Linked DNA regions of Drosophila melanogaster. The protein of the gene in region 3 interacts with the protein of the main gene of each other region in a pairwise test. Each region holds a gene or a part of one and is shown on either strand. Other genes may lie near its edges.

Evidence for each region. The genes of interacting proteins can lie anywhere in the genome.
Region 1: the proteins of CG3708 (region 3) and ems interact in a two-hybrid assay, tested with the Drosophila melanogaster proteins (one large-scale study listed by BioGRID).
Region 2: the proteins of CG3708 (region 3) and dah interact in a two-hybrid assay, tested with the Drosophila melanogaster proteins (one large-scale study listed by BioGRID).

What each region holds. Positions count from the first base shown.
Region 1 is NT_033777.3:13,899,961-13,905,605, reverse strand, and holds ems (empty spiracles), read right to left. Parts: upstream 3,754-5,645; 5' UTR 3,428-3,753; coding exon 2,293-3,427; intron 2,003-2,292; coding exon 1,653-2,002; 3' UTR 986-1,652; downstream 1-985. UniProt on the Drosophila melanogaster protein: Acts as a homeotic selector gene controlling antennal and mandibular segment identity.
Region 2 is NC_004354.4:15,326,422-15,331,987, reverse strand, and holds dah (discontinuous actin hexagon), read right to left. Parts: upstream 3,647-5,566; 5' UTR 3,545-3,646; coding exon 3,316-3,544; intron 3,253-3,315; coding exon 3,036-3,252; intron 2,979-3,035; coding exon 2,121-2,978; intron 2,057-2,120; coding exon 1,939-2,056; intron 1,877-1,938; coding exon 1,717-1,876; intron 1,655-1,716; coding exon 1,287-1,654; 3' UTR 986-1,286; downstream 1-985. Other genes in the region: CG9114 (uncharacterized protein), read left to right, coding at 1-444, 501-961.
Region 3 is NC_004354.4:928,298-932,658, reverse strand, and holds CG3708 (uncharacterized protein), read left to right. Parts: upstream 1-2,560; 5' UTR 2,561-2,674; coding exon 2,675-3,763; 3' UTR 3,764-3,861; downstream 3,862-4,361. Other genes in the region: CG3706 (uncharacterized protein), read left to right, coding at 297-1,631; MED22 (mediator complex subunit 22), read right to left, coding at 3,892-4,109, 4,174-4,275, 4,332-4,361.

The DNA.
Region 1 (5,645 bases), on a different chromosome or scaffold from region 3:
ATATAATTTGCCCACTCTGATTTACGACTATTGCAATTGTAAGCTTTGTGTTTGCAATAGATAGGTTCCCCCAAAAACCCCCCCTGATTTCAATACTGAAGGGGGGGGACCTTTGACAGAGTGCCACAATTTAGTGCTGTTAACAGCTAGTAATTAGACTCGTTATGTCCGTTAATTAGCCATATCAGCCGGACCAATCTAGTTTGCAGTTTGCCCATTGCAATTAGCCACTGCATATTCATTAGGCCACATTCGATAGCCGATTTCAGTTAGCTGATAGCCGATTTGGCGATAATGAAAACTGCGCTTATATACCGCCACAGTTTTCGCATAAATTTGTGGTTCAATAATCATAAATTTGGCTTTTAGATCATTAGCACACCTCGAGTGGCTTGTTAACCAGTTTCCAAAGCCACCCCAACCCCCAAAAGCCCCCGTTCAGCATCCACCCCCGCCCCTTTGATCTCACACGAACTGCGCTCAATTAAATTCTACAATAAAACACGATTTGCATTTTAAATTGTGCAATTAAAATGCTTATGAAATCTATAAGAAATAACGATCGCTAAATGCATTTTATAGCCGCCTCCTTCAGCTATCCCGCTCTTTTCAGTCGCGGCCGCACCCCCTCAATCCCCTTTTCCAGCGCACCTGTCACCATTTCCAGTGGACAGAAACAGCAACAACAATGTTAAATGTCACACGCTAATTAATTGACGGCGCATAATTTTTTACTCTGTCACACAGTGGGACGAACTCAATTAAAAAGGGGCGGAGATGCCAAGGCTTAAACAAGAAAAAATAAACTAAAGTAAAATATTGTTGAAGGAAAGTAATAAAGCTGAATGAGAAGTTAAAGTTCACACCCATAACTCAAAACATACCAATATTGTTTAAATTATAAATAAATTATCTAGTATTCTGGATAATAAGTGGTTGCCCCCAACACATAAATCAATCAAACATTTCTCTTTCGATTTCTTTTCATAATGAATATTTTATATTTTATATGATCATATTCGTTTGTGTTTCTTACAATCGTATTAGCTTAGGATGTAGTTACTAGCAACTAGGGCTTTATATTAGACGGCTTTAAATAATATCCAGCTGCAGTTGAGGGACTCTAGAGGTTCGTGCTTAAGACTAAACATAAATAAATGCTAGATCGTCATACAATATACAAGAATTATACAATAGCTAGTGGATCGAGTACGATTTGTTTTGAAGAATTCACTAATTAAAAGTAATGTCATGAATATTTACAGGCTTAAGTCATAAAATTTGTACAGTTATAGTTGGTGGTGTCTAGCCTAGGTTTATTTTTTCAGTGTTTCTTTTTTTGCATTTGATATTTGGGAAAGAAAGGAAACAACTTGCATTCTTTGAGCTCTACTCAACCTCGAAACTTCGCAAGGATTTGGCACGGATCTTGAGAGAGAAGTGTGGATGGAGAGAAAGGGTCTCTAATACTTTCCTATCTATATACACTTAGCCTAACGCCTTGGGATCGCTCTAAGAATATATCACAACAAAACAAACTATGTTACTCTCGCCGAGATTCGACTGGGAACCCTCGATAACTGGAACTGGACTGCATTCGCCAGGATAAGGAACTCACGGACCGCCGCAGGACTATCTCCTGGCCGCTTCTCTCAGTGGCTGGCGTCCAGCTCGTGCTCCTCATCGCTGGGACACTCGTCCATCTCCATGTCGATCAGTTCGTCGTCGTCCTCGTCGCCGCTGCCGTTGTGCATATTCCGCTGCGATCCTCCCTCGCCGCCCTTCTCATCCTCCTGCTGCATCCGCTTGTGCTTGGTGCGTCGGTTCTGGAACCACACCTTCACCTGCGTCTCGGACAGATTGAGGTTTTGGGCCAGGGCCTTTCTCTCTGCCCCCACTACGTACTGGTTGCTCTCAAAGGCGTGCTCCAGCTTCAGCAGCTGCGACGGCGAGAAGGCGGTGCGGATGCGTTTCGGTTTGCGGAACGGGGGCACCAGGAAACCTTGAAAGAGGCAAAGAAGAAAGGGTTTCGGTTAGTCATCGGTATTTAAGATCATAACTCACAGCAATAAATTAGCAATGACAATATAATGCAATTATAAGAGACTCATCAAAACTAATTTAAAACATATTAGCATCTTTCATTTCTTATTACATTTATGAAGGTTTAGAATTATTACTTTAAAGAAATTTCTCATTTTTTGGCTTCAATTTGGACTCCAAGAACTATTTTTTTCCCTAAATCTCCTTTTTTTGTTTCGCATATAAAGAATCATTCCAAAAGATACTTACTTCCAGGGAATCGGTGTGGGAAGATCCTTCCATGGCGGCTGAGCAGCCAGGGGTACAGCTGATAGCTATCCCTGGCCATGCCTGGATTGGGCATAAACTGGGCGGCATGGGGCGGCAGGCCGGCGGCAGCAGCGGCGGCGGCCGCTGGACCAAGCACATGACCCGCTTGCAGGGCGGCGGCCATCTGGAACTGGGCAGCGGCAATGAGATGCGGATTGTGCTGAGGCGGCAGCTCCGGCGGAGCGTTGATGTAGGGCGGCAGCGCCTTGATGTCCGGCAAGCCGGGCTGACCCTGCGGCATCGGTGGTCCTCCGGGTCCCATGGGAAAGGGGCGAACGAGTCCAGCGGGCGGCATGCCCGGCATCATCATGGGTCCAGCTCCTCCGGGATGCATCATGGCGGGCTTTGGATAATTCGGGGGCGGCTGCTGCTGTTGCTGCTGTGGCGGTGTGGCATGTGGACTGCTGATCAGCAGAGTGGGCGAAGACGAGGGCTGCGAGGACTGGGGGCTCACGGATTTGGGAGGCGTGTGCGGTGGCTGGATGCGCTGGGCGGGATTCTCGGCCTGCTCCATGGCAGGTGGTGCAGGTGAGCGTTCCCGCTTGAGGGAGACGGCCATCTGGGGCTGCTCCGTTTCGGGGGAGAGGCGTGTCTGCAGCGGACTCAGGCCGCTGGCCATGGCGGCATTGTGGTGCAGCCTCTGCAGCAGCTCCTGAATGTCCTGGTGGCTCTTGGGTGTGCCCGGATGTTGCTGCTGCATGAGGAGGTGCTGGTGGAGCACATGTTGCTGCGCAGGCGATAGATGCGGATGCGGATGTGGTGCCTGCAAATGCTGCTGCTGAGCATGCGGATGCGGATAGGGCAGTCCGTGGGCAGGAGGAGCCATCAGATGGTGCGGGGGCGAGCCTGGGATCAAGGTGAGTGTGGCTGGTGGCGTTTGGGGCGGCGAACCGGGCACATTGCGCTCGCCGGGCGGCGGACTCTGGGGACCGGATAGATCGGGCGTCGAATTGCCGCCGGCGGTGCTGACATCATTGCCCACAATGGACTCGATGCTGAAACCGATCTTCTGCTTTGGTGTGGGCATCATGACGGCTGCAGCGGCGGTGGGAACCGGCGGAATCATCTTAGTCATAAATACGGCGGTTAGTTCGGCTATGTTGGCGGCTTTTTTTTCGAGGGTTTAAGCACGGTTTTCTGTTTAATCTAATCTGTTCTGTTTGTCTAATCCTCTGGGAAGTCCTTATTTGTAACTCTCTATGTTTCGTTGATTTTCTCACACTAAGCGACGCATTGGAAACGCTTTCATATATACGTTTAGTTACTTTATTAATCACACACACACTCGGGTTGTCAAGACTTGTGCTCTACGGCGATCGACGCGCTCGTTTTTCTTATTTTTTGTGTCGGAAGACGGAGAATATAGACGTGTGCTCTCGACGACGTTCGATGTCTGAATAAATCCGGTAAGCCCGGCAACACCACCAAGTGTGCGCTACTCGAAGAGAGCTGAGCTGCGGCGAGTCTTCTCTCTTCGCCAGTACAGGCCAAACCAGTTTATCGGGCCAGAGCGGGAGGCACTGTGCTCGGTGTAGTATGGCCGTCTTCTTTGCGCGCGCCTTGTGGATTTTATCTACCCTGCAGATATGGCCTAGCTGCGAAGGAGCGAGTGAAATGGCTGCTTTTCGAGGGGCGGGTCCAGTTCGGTGCGCTGCCTTTACCGAATTTTCTGCATATGGCTTCCGTTCAAACAGCCACCACTATACGACTTTGTTGTTGCTCTTGGCCTTTGTGTAATTTGGCTTAAACTGCCATTCATAGTTCTTGTTTTTGCGGTTGCATTTCTGGGCCGGAACGAGCGCTAAATGGAAATCTAATGCCAGGTGGGCAAAATGTCTCTGTTTGCGGACTCTGGCCAAATTTGCAGGAAGTTCGAAAAGGGTTTTCGAGGCTTACAGAGGATGTGCGTTTTAAATATTTCCCTTGCTCAGGGGGATTTTTGTTGTGCAAATTTATAGTTTAGCAAGGATTTGTTAGACGCTCTTTATATATTTCTGCATAAAACTAAAGATTAAGGAATATAAGTATTTTGTTAATGGTGTTTTTAAAGTTCGTAAACCCCATTCAACAACATGGCGTAAAATTTATAATTTAAAATACTTATTTAATTTATGATATTATATATTAACTTTCCCTATTTTAAAACGTCCCGGTTTTCGTACAGCTGACAATCCAGTCCACATTAGCAATTCCACACCACGGATGCACTTCAAACTTGCTGTTTCCATAAATCATCTACGAAACTTGATCGGGACAGTTTTATGAAATGTGCTACCGGGTTTATTTTTCGCTACGATTTAAATGTTAATTTTCAGGCATTACATTTTTTTTTTGGCACACGACAAAGTTTGCATAATTTATGTAGTGTCCGAATCGCAGTTCCAAATCAAAATCAGAGCAGGTTCATCAATTGTCGGGACGTGCCAAATGTCTCACTTCGTTTCCTCGGTCAACACTATAACATTTCCTATCAAACCCCAAGAGTTTTTCAAAAACAATGGAATAATATTCGGTAGTGCTATTTTCACACTCTGTTATCAGCCGGAGCCGTCAAATTCGTCGCCGGATTTCTGAGATTAATGGGCTAGGAATCGGCGAGAGCACAACAACAGCTTGTGCGATAGATTAAAATCTATCAAATTTTTATGGCCGCTAATTAAGCCACGCATATTTACCCATAGCTTTCGGTTCGAATCGACGCAAGGCATAAACAACTTTCGAGTCCATTAAAGCGTAATTATGTTGACTAATGGATTTTGATTACAAGGCGAAATGCTGTCGAAAGTTCAGCGATTTTTAGCTGAGTCGGTTTCATTTGCGGTCTAATCTGCAAAACGTGTGTGTAGCTAATTCGATTTGAAACTCGGCATCTGAGCTTTAGTTTTGATTTTGTGAAAGCTTCATTATAAGTAAAAAAAGTATTGGTCGAAATGATAAATATTAAATATAAATATCAAAAATATTAAATTAAATAAATATTTAGAAGTAATACTCTGATATCTATTTAATCAATTGTGGTTAGAAGAATCCTTGCAATCAGACGGCCAACATTTCGACGAATCAAGCATAATTGAGTTGAAAGAAAACGCAATTTACCTTGTATTTTCGGTAATTTCACACGCCCACTGAGCTGAGTACCTCACCGCAGGAGCTCCAGGACTCGAAGGACCTGCAGCCAGCACAATCGTGCTGCTAATGAGCGAATAAAGATATCCTCTGGCCGCAGGACCAGCGGCAGTCAAGTGGCCAACTGGAGGACTCGGCAGTTGATGACCCCCCGCCAGAGTTCGCAA
Region 2 (5,566 bases), about 14 Mb from region 3:
ACTACGACCAGCTGGCGCAGTTTTGGGCCTGCCAGGATCAGCATAGCAGGCGTCTCAAATGGCGACCGGTGGAGAAGGAAAGAATACTACCGCCGGAACGATCTGCCGCGATGGTAGTGAGCCTGCGTCTGGTCGATCTTCTTGAGGCAGAGAAACTCATATTGATGGCAACGTACGAGATGGGCGAGGATGCATCCCCTAGGCAAATCCATCTCATTACCTTCGATGTGAAGAAACTGCTCGATAAAACAGAATCGTTGGCACCCACATTTTCGCCCGCCACGCTGCACCAAGACTTTTTGGCCGTTATTATGACGCACACGGCACGTTGCTCCCTGAAATTGGAGTTCCAGTCGGCCCAGGATTGCACGACATTCGAGCAGCTACTCGTCTCCACGCTGCAGTTTCAGTTGATCCAAGCCCAGGAAGCAAACAAGGAGCCGAGTGAGTAGCTTTGTCAAGACCACTTGTTGTCCCTTTTAACTCATAATCCCTTACAGCTTCCGACTTGCTGGACGACAGTGAGCCTGGGTCTCACTTTCAGTCTTCCAACATCGCCGCCGATCCTGTCCAGCGTATTTTCTACAATCGCCAGCCGCAGTCACAGTGGTGTGACACCTTGCTGCTTCGCGACGATCCCGGAAAGCATTGGCATGTGTACGCCAGAACGGACGATCGATTGCGTCTGCTACTGCATCGCCTGACGCGCGATCTCCTCCAGCTGCACTGCAACCTCAATGTGCTAGAGGTCGCTGAGCACAACATGTCGCCTGCCGACATGGAGATGGAGTTGCTAAACAGTCTGTTCGAGGAGATGGACGCCTGGAAGGTTTTGAGTGAGCCGGCAGCCAGTGTGGAGCAGCGCCGGGAGCAGCTGACGCAGCTCCACAAGGCACAAATGGCCAGCGATGTGTTGGCTTCTATGCTATTCACCGATGATGATGATGACAATGGGGCGTAAATGCGTTTTTTTTTTCTTCTCTTTGCATTGGAAAATCTACAAAGTTGATATTTTGTATGTAAATGCTTTGTTAACAATGTGTTTTTTGCATTGTATATTTTTATAAAAACATTTTGTTGTATTGCATTCTTGTCAGAGTTGTAAGTTTACAAATTAAAGCATTTACGCGAATGTTAAAGCACATGGGAAAAGGAAGAAGGATATAATAAATGCATGACTCGGTTGTGTCATTTTGTCACGATTACTTTAGAACAACTTTACAACTTAAAGCTAAGTGGACTTGGTCTGGCTGGAATCGATGGGAGTTGGTATCCGATCCGGATCCTCACGTGCTGATGCGCCGCTGCTGCTCCTCGCTCTTGATGATGCTATCGAGAACGTTCTCCAGATTTTGCGTGGCCGCCGACAGTTCGGCATTATCGCTGTACGAGTCCTCGACGATCTCCTTGACCTTGTGCAGCAGCAGCTTAAAGTTCACCATCTCGGTGTCGCGGCCATCTCCGCCGTTTGCCGGCTGCTGTTCCAGTAGAGCACCCAGCGGCATGGGCAGCGGCAGAGGAGCCGGCAGGGAACCAGGTCCTTGTCCTGGCTGGACACTCGAGCGACGCTGGTCGAACCACAAGCTTATGTCGTTGAGCGAGTAATCCGATTTGTTTGCCTCCAGATAGCTGCGATTCAAGTCGGCGCCATTTACTACAAGAAACGATTAACTTAGTGGAGCTGTCTCATGGCTCTGTTGAAGGTTCTCTTCTTACTGGAGTGCGTGAGATTGGCACCCACGGGCGCATACATGTCGAATAGCATCTGTCGCTGAGGCGTGCTGGAGCTAAGGAACGTGGAGCTGACTAGGGGCGCAGCTGAAGGCGCCACTTGGGCAGCTGGCGCAGGTGGCGGCGAAGTTACCGCTGAGGCATGCTGCAAGTGTATATAAATGGAGTTAGCTCAGCTTAAATGGGCCGAATGTTTGGAAAACTCACTGATAGCTGTCGCATATCCTCGATAATCTGCAGCAGAAAGCACTGATGGGCGCTCAGAAACTGCGATATTTCCGAACTAGATGCGGTGGCCACTGTTTGCAGCTGGGTTTCCAGCTTCCTGAAATGCAAGAGAACCTTAAGGCTTGGCTAACAAGTGTGGCGAAAGAAGGGAAAACACCCACGCATTTTGCAAAAGCAATCGATCGATGATGGACTGCAGCCTGCTGGACGCCTCGCTGGCTAGACCCGTCAGGGAGCAGAGCTCCTGCTGCTGTTGCTGCAGGACAACTGTGCGGTCCTTCTCCTGGCACTGACTGCGCACACTGCGCGTCTCTGCGGGAATGGGCGTGGCAGCGGATTGACCCAAGGCGGGCCCACTCTCCTGCGCATTACAGAAGCCGCGACGCTCCTCCTCCTGTGTTTTGCGCGGCATCACCAGCCAGCCGCACAGCCTGGCCAGGTGGCGGGTCCAACGCAATGGCGGCTGATCCTCCACGAAGACCTCGCACATCCGATGACCCGGCTCGTGGCGACCACCAGCGAAGCCCACTGCAAAGCAGGGCAGGCACAACGATATATCCCTACACACCTGACACCGGAAACGTATGCCCACAATGTGCTCCTTGCGGCAGCCGGCACAAGAATTACTGTGAATCAAATGCTCGGTGTCCTCGATGCGTTTCACCAGTGCCAGCAGATTGCCATAGATCAGGAATCTCGTCTGGACACCCGCTCCCGTCCAGAGTTTGTGGAACTGCGGCTCGGTCAGTCCACCAACGCCATGCGGACAGCGGGCAAAGCACTGCTCCATAGCCAACGGAAGATTGTGGACGCCATAGGCCTTGGCCTCGCCCAAATAGCTGAGTAACTTGCTCAGCGTGGCTAGGAGCTGTTCGAATGCATATCTGGAGATGATCTGCGACTTGGGATCGGCCAGCAGGCCAAAGATGTCGCCCACCAGGTGATCGCTGCTATATAGCTTGCACAGCAGTATGAAGGTGATCCTGATCTCTAACAGGGATATGGAGTGTCTGCGTTGCCTAGCGAAACCAATCAAATATCAGACATATTCTTAAGATGCCAGAAACTCAACCCACGGATCGTAGACATTCCAGAAGAAGTTGGCCAACAGCCCGGTTGCCCTGTCCAGTTTATAGTTCGCATCCTGGTTGAAATGGCCTAGTTTCTCGCAGGCAAAGTATACATCGTGCAGCAGGGAGGTCAACTGGAATGGAGGAACCATCAGTTCCAGGCCACCACTCAAGTTATGGCGATCCAAAATGGCCAAAACCAGCTTGTAGGGGATTTTTCCAGCTGCAATTTGAAGGTTAATCCTTGGGGACTCCTTCGAATGGACCACCTACGCGACTGACTCACTGTGAAATATCTTTTGCAGCGCCACAAATTTACTGGCGCACCGGTATACCGTGTACTTGTAATTCCCGTAATCCCGCTGCAAGTCATCCATGATGGTGGATAGCTCTTTGTCCACCTGTTGCTTTTGTCCTTGGCCACCTTGGGATCCCTTTTCGCGGGCAATGGACGCCACGGCCTCGGCGCTATTTCGCAGTTTTGTCAGCTGCACGGGCACCGACGATCTCAGCATTTTGTCAGGCGTTTATTGTTATATATTTCCCTTGATTCTCGAATTAATTTCAGTCTCTTTTAAACGCGTCGTTTCTCGCGATCTCTTCCTCTTCCGTTAGCGCAAAAGTCAAATTGTGTGGCGTGAGGTGGCAACGCCGCGCGTGTTATCGATATCACTTCGCCGAACCGTTAGCGCTTTAAATTTGATTCAAAATTATTATTATCATTAATTAAGTCATCCGTTCGTTCTAAGAATATTTGACCATGATATAATAATTGGTAAATAAGTTTGAGCAACGGGAAATGTAAACTGAACAACTTGGGTTCACCATAGTATTTTCCCAATTTCAAAAACAAAACAAAGTTATTTAAAAACCCTTCTTTTGAATGCGAATAATTACCCAAAACGAGGAAATGGAAAGAGTGTCACATAGATTTTAAAATTAAATATATATTTTATGTATATTTGCATCATTCCATTGCAATTACATTCACTTATGCTATTTTGTTTTTCATTTACTTTGCTTTCGATTTAAAATAGTGGGTTTCTTATCATTTCGCTTGTTGTTTTTTGTTTGCTTATATCAATATTATAATATGCCAAGTTTATATGTGAGTGTTGTGGCGGGGCGGGGCGGGGCTGGGCGTTCGAAGAAGGGTTCGTAATTAGTTTATTTAACTTTTTTTTTTGCCTTTTAAAAGCATTCTCCCGCTTCCGTATGCGAATCCACGACAAACGCACACAGATGTTTGCGTTCACATTATATCAATCACTAATTATAATATGTGTTTGGGCGTGTGTGTGTGTGTGTTTATATGTATGTATATAAAGATCGTTCGCTCTTCATTTGCAATGCGCGTTTGCCATTTATGCTAGGGGGGGCGTGAGGCGAGATATAAATTTCCATCGATTTGCTTAGTTAAAAGTACGGCCATAATCGTAGCTGATGGGATTGGGGCACATGGATGTTGGGGATGTTCCTAACTCCACCTGAATCCACTGCTCTCGTCGACTGAAGGATTCAAGTGAAGGCTCGATTTTTACAAGGTTTAAGGTATAGTTTTAGCTCACTTAATTGCACATACTTCTATAGATTCTATATGTATAAAGTTCCTTTCTTTCAGATTAAAGTTCTTTCTTTCGCTGCGACTGGTTTGCTGGCTGTGTTTCTGTTTTGGTTCATCGAGTTATTTGAATTGCTCGTTTGATTTGTATCTGCAATTGGTTTTCAGTGTGATGGCGGCTTGGTTTGCGGTTGAGAACTTGAAACCTGTCTGCTTAGAGTATAGAAAGTTAAGGGTCTGTCTGCAAATCAATTTAGCATTTGTATATTTCGAAATGTTAACTAAAATGATCATAAGGTACGAAATCAAAGCGAAACCACATCGAGATCCATCCAATGTGGCTTTGTTCTTCATTTTCGGGGGCGGTCGGTCGACAAATAGCGCTGCTTCAGAGTTGAATTGAATAAATTATGCTATGCTAAAAGTTGGGCTACAAGGTTTCTCTGTTCAGTTTGCACTTATACAAATTATTATTATTATTATGATAGATAGAATAGTTTACAAAACTAGACTAACTTAGATAGTATAGCATTAGCTACGGGGCTTACAGCTATATTTATTTACAATGTTATTATATCTTAATTTAGTTAATATCTAATTTGGTAACTAATTGCTGGCTTGTTATGTACAAATGCCTGTTTTTGTTTTTGTTTTTTGTTTTCGCTAAACAAAATCAACTATAGGTAAACATAAAAAAAATTGCGTTTTAAATTGTATAATTTTCGTTTGCTTTTGCTATTAAATATATATATATATATATAGATATATATATACATCTATATTTTTATATATATATATATATCTATATATATATATTTATGTAAATGTATGTATTATATTAAAAATAAAAATATATACACAAATATTATTATATACATAAATATAAATATATATATGTATATATGTTTTATATGTAAAATTATGAAGTATAAGGGTATCTTGACAAAAAAGTTCTTTTGTAGAGACATAGAAAATT
Region 3 (4,361 bases):
AGATCCAGATTTAGCGAGCTAGTCATGCATCGCCGCAAAGCCCGTCGATTCCGACCCGATAAGCCCAGTCCGAGGAGGTGGGGCCGAAAAGTGGGTTTAGACGGTGGCGGCTTATCGAGTGGCGATAAGCGGGACACAAGACCCACTTCCCCACACATTGTCCAGTGCAGGCCTCGCAGTCGCGTCCAATTGGCCAAGCCGTTCGGTAACGGAGCATTTTTGACGAGGATCGACATTCCGCGGAACTCCAAAGAGGATTTAATTTTGAACAGATTTTGAGCATCTTGGGACACAACATGATCGCAGCGCTCGGGCTGATCTTCGGCATTCTAACGGCCTTGGTGGTCGTGGCACTTAAGCTACTGGGCCTGAAGCCGCCACTAATCTTCGGCAAGTACCCACTGAAAGGCATCTTTTACCGGGTGAAGTTCTGGATCGCCCTGCTTGTCCTTCGCCGCCTGAGGTACCGCATCTACCGTCGGAACGAGGAGCTGCTCGGCTCCGAGGAGCACCTGGCCAAGGTCGACAGGCCGCAGCAGCTCAGCAACGACCCGAAGAGCTATGACGTGGTCAGCTTCATGGCGGCCAACAAGGAGGGCCAGAAACTAATGGTCACCTTGGAGCGAAGGAGGCGCGGAGTCCTCAAGGCGGCACTGTACCTGTGGCTTCCCGAAAGCGGCCTGTTCAGTTCGCCGAATCTGCCCGATATGGTATACTTCACCACCGCGGATGGAGCGGAGAGCAACGCGTTCCAGGGTGGAGGCTTCCACGTCTACCAGGAGGCATCTATGCGTGTGTGGCGGCTCAAGTACTCCGGACTGCTGAAAACTCAAGGGCCGGACGTGCAGGACGTAGCCGTGGACTTGGACCTCCGTTTCGAAAGCTCCTCCGCTGAGCACTTCGACTACAACAGAGATCTGAGCAGCGCCCTGATAGCCGACTCCATAGCCAGAGAGGCCTGGAACGAAAAGTTCTACAGCCTGCTGCGCAGCGTCAACCACATCGTAGAGAAGCGCACCCACTACGAACAGAACGGAGAACTGGCCGGCCAGGTCACGCTCGATGGCAAGGAGCTGGCGCTGAAAATGGTGGGCTTCCGGGACCACAGCTTCGGCACCGAGCGCTGCCTAAGCTCCATCAACCGGTACGTGTACTTTGCCCTCTTTATGGACGATGGCAGCAGCATGGTGGTGGGCAGCCTCAGTCAGCCGTCCTTCTTCCTGTCCTCCCTGAAGGTGGGCTACGTGTGCAGCCCCGAGCGGCAGTATCAGCCGCTGACCGGGAGCAACTTCGAGCTGTACTCGTACGGCGAAAAGGGAACGCCGCCGCAGCACCAGAATTTCATTGTGCGCACCGAGGAGCGGGAGTACCTCGTGCAAATCCAGGTGGAGGCCTCCGCGCTGCGCTACGTCGGCGGCGACTGGGAGTCTAAGGTGTTCAACCAGTTTGTGGCCTGCACGGTCAACGGAGTTCCCGGCCAGGGCCACGCCGAGTTCCTGTACCGCCACAAGGGCGGCAGGCCGGAGGATATATCGTCCGGGGACCCCGGCTGGTACCAGGACATCAAGCGCTTCGAGAGAAGCCTCTCGTTGCTGGAAGAGGAGGGCCAGGACGAAGACTTCATCTTCTAGGACGCCGACGAATTGTTTTTGTTTTCAGTTTAAGATAGCATGTAAAAGTATGGGGGAGACCCATCCTATCAAAATAAAGAGATTTTGTTTGAATGACATTCGAGATTCTGAAGTCATTGGCCGCGCTGATGTCATCGGTAAGTCCAAACTAATTCAGTTAACCAACAATCCAACAGCAATATCCACTGGAGGCCATCCGGTGCAGCTGCAATCTGGTGGACTCGGGTCGATGAGGAAGATTACCGAATCGCTGGTGGAGGAATTGGACCCCCCGTGAGGATTAGTCGCCCATAAATTAGCATGCGACAGACGAACGGATTAGATTGGACAGCTACTTCGGTTTTTCTCCCAATAAATAATGGCGATTCGGGCCATCGGTTTATGGCACCCAAAAGACAACGGGCCCCACTTATCGCTCCGTCGGGCCAATAAAACCCAAGACCAGGCACCAAGACTGGGCCCAAGTGCCCAGGTGTCGCAGATAAGAGGCGAGCGGCGGGGCAGATAGCTTCAATCCAACAAAATAAACCATGCTCGGGATCTGAATGGAGCATTATGCTGCCGTCCGGTTCCGACCTGCCGCAATGTCAGCTTATGGTGGGCCGATAAGTGCCGGGCATGACCCTCCCTTCAGTGTCCAGTCCACAGCCCATATCTGGGCTCATGAGCAGGTAGCTCCGATAACGCAACCGCCGACAGATATTGGCCACCGATTTGCCCGGAATTCGGCAAATCATGCACTGTTTCTGGAATTCGCCTTCATTAATTATGCACGTAACTCTGAAGTGGTATTCCTCGTAGGCGAAATTATTTGTTAGATTACGCAGTTATTGTAATCAAAAATGCGATTGCTTCTGGGCAAATCCAAGGAATCATCAGCCGAATTTTCGTTCCCAGTAGTAGGCCGGTTTCTGTGGAAATCAAGGAACAGCTTTGATCTAGCATAGTAGTTTCCAAGTGCCCAGTCGCAGAGCTGGAATATACTTGTAGATTTATATACATATATGTTGCCAAATTTCGAAGTTATTGCACCGAATTGCACAATGATTGGGATGGCTGACAGCGCGGAGGGGGTTACCCAGGAAGACAGCCACACGGAGTCGAGGGCAGACGGCATCAGCGGGTCCTTGCGCTCCCTGGGCACATATACCCAGGAGTCCACAGAGCCGGCTTTGAGTCCGGCGGACCTTCCCGCCCGCAGCCGGAAGGCCTTTCTGCGGCACATGATCGGCCAGCTGGCGGAGCCCGTGCAGAACCGCATACGGGCACTGCGGCACAATCAGCTGCAACAGGTACGCATTTCGGAGCAGTTCTTCCGGGAAGTCTACGAGCTGGAGCGACGTTTCTACGGCCAGAGCTGCGCGCTCTTCGATGCGAGGCGGGATATTTTGGAGGGTTCGGTGGAGCCACCGATCCAAACGGAGAAGACCTGGCCCGAGGACCCGCAGGATGCTCTGTACCTGGACTTCGGGAACAACGAGGAGCTGCGACAGCTGAGGCAAAAACTGGCTCCGGTTTCGCCGACTACGCTGGGTGTTCCACGCTTTTGGCTGACAGTTTTCCAGAACGTGCCCCTGCTCTCGGAGTTGGTCCAGGATCACGACGAGCCGCTTCTGGAGAGCCTAATGGATGTGCGCCTGGCTTACGACCAGGACAGCTACATGGTCATCTTTCAGTTTCGGCCCAATAGCTTCCTGCACGATTCCTCGCTGCTGCTCACGAAGCGCTACTTTCTGCAGCACTCGGCGGACCCGGAGTATCCCTTTCTGTTCGAAGGGCCCGAAATAGTTCGTTGCGAAGGCTGCCACATCCACTGGCGCGATGGCTCCAATCTCACTCTCCAAACGGTGGAAAGCAGGCGAAGGAACAGAGCACACCGAGTCACCAAGGTCATGCCTCGGGAGTCCTTCTTTCGCTTCTTTGCTCCGCCGCAGGCCTTGGACCTGTCGCTCGCGGATGAAAAGACCAAGCTGATCCTTGGCAACGATTTCGAAGTGGGCTTCCTGCTACGCACCCAAATCGTCCCGAAGGCGGTGCTCTTTTACACGGGCGACCTAGTTGACAGCCTGAGCGCGGCCTCTCCGGACAGTCGCTCCTTGTCCTCGGAGGCGGAACAGGAGCAGGTCTTGTGAGTGCGACGCGACTAGCTGTTTGCTAAACAAAATTTACAAGTGAATGTGGTAATGATTTCTTATTAAATTCTACAGTTCGGCCAAAGCCAGTTCATCACAAATAAGGTGAACCCCTTCCCCTCCTAGCGCTACTTAAAAATGCTGGTGTAGTACTCCTCCTCCAGGTCGTACAAGTCCATGGCCATTTCGTCCCTAAGTTTCATCAGCTTCTTGTCGCACTCGCTCTGTGTGTTCCTGAACAGCTGCGAATTGTTTGTGATGGCCTCGTTGACCGAGTGAAAGTCGTTGAGGATTAGGTACTGTTTTAGGTCGGCCACCAGCTTCATCAGAGACTCGCCGGCACGGACTATAAAGCGGAATGCATGAAGGAAATGGCTCGAATCTGGTTCCCAGGGAGTGGATTTACTCACCCATGTTGGCCGCGCGGACCTGCATTTCCAGGGCATCCTGTTCGCACTGCGTGGTCTTCGAAATCTGGCTGTGGCTCTCACGGCGCGCCAGCTTGAGTATTTCTGGAGGAGAACACGGTATTACAATCTATTGCTCGGAGCAACTGAGCCGCACTTACCTTCAAAATTCTCCAGCATGCTGCGAACGT